Linked DNA regions of Oryctolagus cuniculus. The protein of the gene in region 1 purifies or fractionates together with the protein of each later gene. This does not show direct contact. Links are inferred from orthologs where the notes say so. Each region holds a gene or a part of one and is shown on either strand. Other genes may lie near its edges.

Region 1 (2,976 bases):
CTCTCCCGTGCCCCAGATCCACAGATCTCAACTCCTCGAGCGCCTAGCCTGCCCCTGCAGGTTCTGGTATTTTAGGCCAGGGGTGGGGAACGTCCGGCCCACAGAATCATGGGGTCTGGGCCTGCCAAGGCAACCACAGGTGGGACTCTGAACCCACAAATGGTGTTAGATACCCAAATGGCCCAAATGCCCGCAGTGTGTGTGTGTGTGCGTGTGTGTGTGTGTGCGCGCTGTTCCTTGGCCGAGGGAGAGCCATGATGCGTCAGCTTTTCGGCAGTCAAGTGCAGGCAGAACAGAATTCCACTGCAGAAATAAGGCTCCCAGCCCCGCCCGCTTCAGGTGCACACTTGACACCTTCATTTGGATAGGCCAGCACTACAGGCGCTGACAGGTCAGCCTCGTGCCAGGAAGTCAGGCCCTGATGTCTGAACTGACTGTTTCCGTTTTCTTCCTGTGCCCAGGGGAAGGTGCTGAGCTGTAACCGCAGCACTGCAGGTCGGCAAGCTGCAAGCAGTCACGGGAACTGCGGCTCCTGCTCTCGGCTAACACGCGGCCCTAGCTAACGCTTTACTTAGCCACTGGTTTCACACAACAGTGCCAGCATAAGGATGACACATCGAGACTATCTACAAAACTTTATTTACAGAAAAACATGCGTATCATTAAACAAAACAAATAAAATGCTTTTCACTGCAACACAGTACAATTTGTCGTTTTTTAAAGCCGAATCAGAAGTATCTGTTGGGAGGCCAGGAGCTACACGCTCATCATTCGAGGCGCAATGCTCATGGACATCAGTTCCTGAAACAACAGTTTGCACGCGTACGGCATCCGCACCAAAGAAATCTGAAAGGGGAGAGCAGGGCGTAGTGAGCAGAGCTGGGGGGGCACGGGACGCAGCCCACGGCCCTGCCCCGGAAAGAGCTGGTCCTCCGAGGAGGCGTCCCCAGCGGCCGGGGGCTCACATCCGGCCCCTGCCTTACACTGCTGCCCCTCCCCCACTGTTACGTACAGAAGACGAACAGCTGCCACGCAGACCACACCCAAACTTGCTTTCAGACAAATCCGCCACACCGCGTCAGCCTGAATGACCCCACCTCCTGGATCCACACACTCACCTGGGTCTTATTGCGGCAGCCCCTGCACTCGTACGTGTGGGTCCTGGTGTTGGCAATGGCCATGATTCCACACAGATTGCAAACATGAACCTGATAGGGATCAGATGCCTCAAACAGCCTTTCTCTTAGGAACTGGGCTGCTCCATGGGCAATCTGACAGTCTCGTTCCATTTCTCCAAAACGCAGGCCACCATCACTGTCAAGAAAGTAACAGGTTTTGCACTTACTTATGACAAACACCCCTTGACTAATGGCAAAGAAAAGGAAAACGAGGCTCTCATTTTTCTGTCCTCACATTCTCTACCTGGTGTGGAGGGGAGAAGGCTACTGACTACGTGCTGTGCATTACAAGGTCCCCAAAAGAGGAGGTGCACTGGATTCTCAATATAGCATGATTTTCCTCGTAACATACAACAAAGTGTGGAGTACCGGCTTTTCTTGCTATCATTTAACGTGTCTGCAAGACTGATTTACTTATTTGAAAGGCAGAATTGCAGGGACGGGATGGGGTGCGCACACTTCCTCCACTGGTTCACAAAAGGCCACAACAGCTGTGAGCAGGCCAGTCCAGGCTGAAGCCAGGCATCCGGAACTCCATCCAGGTCTCCCATGTGGGTGGAAGGAGCCCCAGCACTGGGCCGCCATCTGCTGCTTTCCCAGGTGCATTAGCAGGGAGCTGGACTGGACATGGAGCAGCCAGGACCGGAACCAGGGCCCATATGGGATGCTGGCCCCTCACTTAACCTCCTACAATCCCACTCTTAAAAGCTGAAACTAAAAGCCGATCTAGATCAACATTTACAGGTTTCCTGGAAGTGACAGGCATTGCTCAAATGGCCAGGCAAGCAGATGGTGATGACTTACTTAACATTCGTAATACACAAAATTAGTAAAACCGGCTGGTTGTAGTATCCCAAAACAAAACCAAGCCAACTCTGGGGGCTGTTGGGCGGCCAGCTCATTATTTTGAAAAGTGGTACAGAAGTGATTCAAATTGTGGGGCCCTCGGTATAATCAAGGCAGCAGAGCCAGACCTGACCAGCAGTCAGCCACTCCAATGAGGGGGAGGCAGTTTTACTAATGCCCTCCAGGAAGCTGTACAAACGGTCAGCCTTATTAAACCCTGATCCCCTGCAGCTCAAGTGACAGTGGCTAAGTGGAATCAACCCAACTGTCCATCAACTGAAGAATGGAAAGAAACTACGGGATACATACACCATGGAACACTACACCATGGTTAAGAAATCATATCATTTGCAACAAAATAGATGCAACTGGAAAACATCATACTTAGTGAAATAAGCCCGTCCCAAAAGGACAAATACCATATGTTCTCCCTGACCTGTGGTAACTAACAGAGCACCAAAAGGCAATCTAGAGGTGAAATCGACACTTCGAGATGTGATGACTTTGAACAGTCCTGTTTCCACTATTGGTTTAACTCTTTACTTAGTATAATCTTATGTGTATAAAGTTACCTGAAAATAATCTTCATAAAAAATAAGAATGGGAATAGGAGAGGGAGGAGGGAGAAGGGCAGGTAGGGTGGGAGGAGTCACTATGTTCCTGAAGTTCTATCTGTGAAATGCATGAAGTCCGTATACCCTGAATAAAAGGTTTCTGGGGAAAAAACAAAAAACACTAACCCCTGAGGACACGCCTTTTTCATGCTTGAACAAAGGCACTATGAGGTTCTGAACTCTGCATTTACAACTGAGAGCGTTCTCACCTGAGAATCGCCTGACACCAACCATGCAACCTCACCCACGCTGGCACAAACAGCGTTAACTCCCACTTAGGCATTGGCAGACGAGAAAATCAACAAAGCCTTTCACTACAAGGAGAGCAAATTCAAGTA
Region 2 (3,651 bases), on another chromosome or scaffold:
TGGAATGTCAAATTTTATGTGAAAGCATGTTATTACTTACAAAAATTAAAAACAGTTATGACTGTTAGCTCAGTACATTTTTTTCATCTGCTTTTCCAGGAGGAGAGGGGAGACAGAGAGCAGTTACCACAACTGGAAGCGTACGAAATAGAACTGAGCCCTTCCTATCAAACATATTTTCAGTCAAATCTCATACATGAACACTCTTTTGTAGTAGGAAGTTAAATTTAACTAAATACCAGTAAAATACAACCATGAGTGTTTAAGTTGCTCTAATATTTTATTTTTCCTTTCAACATTTTTTAAAAGCTTCAACATTTTAGACAATTTTTTTTGTAACATAAGTATTAATCTCTGGAGACAACCATAAAATCACTTAAAAGGACATGAACACGTGTGTGTGTGTGTGTGTGTGTGTGTGTATAAGACTGAGGTTTCTACAGCCTATGTATGTCTCTTTGAAGAAAAAAAATACACTGACAATTGTAACTTTTAAAAAACAATTATTGGTTTCCTTACCAAACATTAGTGTCCTACACAATGAACCCATCATGAGTGAGAGCAATGAACTCCAATCAGGTGAAACACAAAAGAGCTATTGCTCCCAGCAAGCACAGTCGGCTTGGACTTTTCCTGTATCTCATAGTACTCCAGGCAAACCTGGTCACCTATAAAGACCGTCCACCTTCCAGCATGTACTCAAAGTACTTATTCCTGATCAGAGGAAAGGTAACATTCTTCCTAAGGTGAGACGGAAGGAAACAAACATTTGTTAAGAATTTTCTGAGTATCTTCCTAGGTATTTCAAACCCAGTATCTCAGTAATTCCATGCAAACATGCATAATTCTCCAGACTTCATCCTTTCATTATTTAAAAAAGCAGGGAACTATGTCTTCCTAATTTACTTTAGCTGCCTGGGACAACTAAGTGTTTCACTGAAAGACATGTAATAAATCCTATTTGATTGAGTTATTAAAAAATAAAATTATCTTTCATTTGGCTTAAAGGAAAAAAAATGTGTTTTATCATACACTCAAATATCAGACCAATGCACAACATACTGCAAAACTTTAATACAATGTGGTTACATACTGTTTTCAAATATTAAACTTCAAGCACATGAAAGTCATCTGAAAGACAAACTGGGCTTTTGTTCACAGTTGCCGTTGTGTAACTTCACAAAATTCTTTCCCTCAACAAGGTCTGACACTGATCTTGATGCTTACAAAGTAGGATGTGAGATAATGACATTTCAACAGCCTGAGGTTTAGGAGATGATCCCAATGCCCATCTTCAGCATTCATCATCGGAGGACTGATCATCTTCATCCCTTACTTCCCGGTATTGCCTGGAAGACTCCCCTTCTGGATTGTAACTCTGCATTTTAATATTCAGTTTTTCAGCTAATTTTTGTGCTGCGAGCTTTGCTTGCATCTCCTTTAAAACAAAGGGGAAAGGAAAAAGTTACACATTCACACTTTTCCTTACAATTTTTCAATGGTAAGTTCTTCAAACAGACTCAGAAAAAAAGAGGCGGTAACACCCCACTTGGAGGTCTCTGCAGCAATGGCAGGAGCCCGATGGCTGCACCCCACCACAGATACAAAGGGCAATGCTTCTGAGACCTATCAGCCTGCTGGCTGTCGTAACCGATGTCCACTACCGAACAACAATGCACTGAAATATCCTACCTCTTTACAAATTAACTTTACAACAGTTACAAATATGGGTACATTAAGTCTGTGGGCACATGCATGTATACATACAAAACAATGAGACTTATCTAATGTCAAAAATCTCCAATGCTGTACTGAATTCCCTGACAGAGCCTTCCTCCCTAGATTAAATCTTAGCTTCTAGGCCTGAGAGTTATACTTCAATAGCACAATGAAAATCAAGAAATTAATGCTTGAAAAATGACTACCTCTATCCAAGAAAAGTCCTACAGAGGGGCCAGCGCCATGGCGCAATACGTTAATCCTCCACCTGCAGCACCAGCATCCCACATGGGCACTGGTTCTAGTTCCGGCTGCTCCTCTTCCAATCCAGCTCTCTGCTATGGCCTGGGAAAGATGATGGCCCAGGTTCTTGGGCCCCGGTACCCTGTGGGAGACCCTGAAGAAGCTCCTGGCTCCTGGCTTCTGATCGGAGCAGCTCTGGCCATTGCAGCCATTTGGGGAGTGAACCAGCAGGTGGAAGACCCTTCTTTCTGTCTCTTCCTATCACTGTCTGTAATTCTACCTCTCAAATAAATAAATAAAATCTTTAAAAAAAAAAAAAAAAAAGTCCTACAGAAACAAGTATCCAACAAAAGCCCAAATAAATTTTAGACACTGGTGATGTGCTTACTGCACACACGCAAGGGCTTCACCACCAACTGCTGGCAGGTGGCAATGCTCATTCCTGGCTTTGCTCCTCCCTTTTCTCATGCTTCCTTCTTCCTTTATCACTTCAACTTCTTTATTGTCTTCCCCTCAGGCCAGGAATATTAAGAGTAAGTATAGTGGGAGCAACTACAATGTCTCTTGCAAGGAAGCTAATTTCAAGCTGCAGGGTTTAATTTAACCTAAAAACATCTTAGGATGGCATTTATGATTCCACAGACAATTTAAAAACATTTCCTTGATGTTGCAGTCCTAAGTAGGTGACACTTCTAATGCACCAAAAGGGAAAACAAGTGACTACTAAAAAGGAGTGCTGGAGCTGGCGCTGTGGCACTGCAGGTAAAGCTGCCATCTGCAGTGCTGGCATCCCATATGGGCACTGGTTCAAATCTTGACTGCTCCACTTCCAATCCAGCCCCTGCTAATGTGCCTGGGAAAGGAGTAAAAGATGGCCCAAGTACTTGGGCTCCTGCACCCACATGAGAGACCCGGAAGAAATTCCTGGCTCCTGATCAGTTCAGCTCTGACCGTTGTGGCCATTTGGGAAGTGAACCAGCAGATCAAAGATCTCTCTCTCTCTCTGCCTTTCAAATAAATGAATAAATCTGAGGGGGAAGAAAAAAAAAAGAATGCTTCAAAAATACCAATCCAGGACAACTGAATTTTTAAGAAAAGTGAAGACAGGGGCCGGCGCTGTGGCATAGCAGGTTAAGCTGCCGCCTGCAATGTTACATCCCATATGGGCACCGGTTCTAGTCCCGGCTGCTCTGCTTCCTATCCAGCTCTCTGCTATGGCCTGGGAAAGCAGAAGATGGGACAAAACCTTGGGCCCCTGCACCTGTGTGGGACACCCTGAAGAAGCTCCTGGCTCCTGGCTTCAGATCGGCTCAGCTCTGGCCGTTGTGGCCATCTGGGGAGTGAACCAGCAGATGGAAAACCTCTCTCTCTGTAACTCTTTCAAATAAATAAAATAAATCTTTAAAAAAAAGAAAAAAAGGAAAAGTGAAGGGAGAGTAGAGCCTAGTTTTCTATTAGTTAGTGCACAGCACCTGATGGGGATGTAGCTAAGCAATATCTAGGAAGTAAGACAAGATACTTTCCCTGGAAGCTCAAATTATCACTAAGTATATCAATATTTTCTATTCCCTCTATAGTCTACACACATTTTCTCCCATCCCATTAATCTATACATATATTCTCAACATCCACTTAAAGTTCTATGTCAAACACATGGAGCAGTGGACAAAGTACTACCTAACACTAAGT

What was found. Proteins that work in one complex are often made in the same cells at the same time.
Region 2: the proteins of POLR2B (region 1) and POLR2M purify together in Homo sapiens (affinity purification with mass spectrometry; 3 studies listed by BioGRID and IntAct, counting the BioPlex papers as one, with this or other methods). This does not show direct contact. The link is inferred for Oryctolagus cuniculus from reciprocal best matches to the Homo sapiens genes POLR2B and POLR2M.

What each region holds. Positions count from the first base shown.
Region 1 is NC_091439.1:107,643,776-107,646,751, forward strand, and holds the end of POLR2B (DNA-directed RNA polymerase II subunit RPB2), read right to left. Parts: intron 1,315-2,976; coding exon 1,119-1,314; intron 847-1,118; coding exon 757-846; 3' UTR 621-756; downstream 1-620. Other genes in the region: IGFBP7 (insulin-like growth factor-binding protein 7), read left to right, coding at 462-481. UniProt on the Homo sapiens protein: Catalytic core component of RNA polymerase II (Pol II), a DNA-dependent RNA polymerase which synthesizes mRNA precursors and many functional non-coding RNAs using the four ribonucleoside triphosphates as substrates.
Region 2 is NC_091443.1:80,579,613-80,583,263, reverse strand, and holds the end of POLR2M (protein GRINL1A), read right to left. Parts: intron 1,439-3,651; coding exon 1,295-1,438; 3' UTR 262-1,294; downstream 1-261.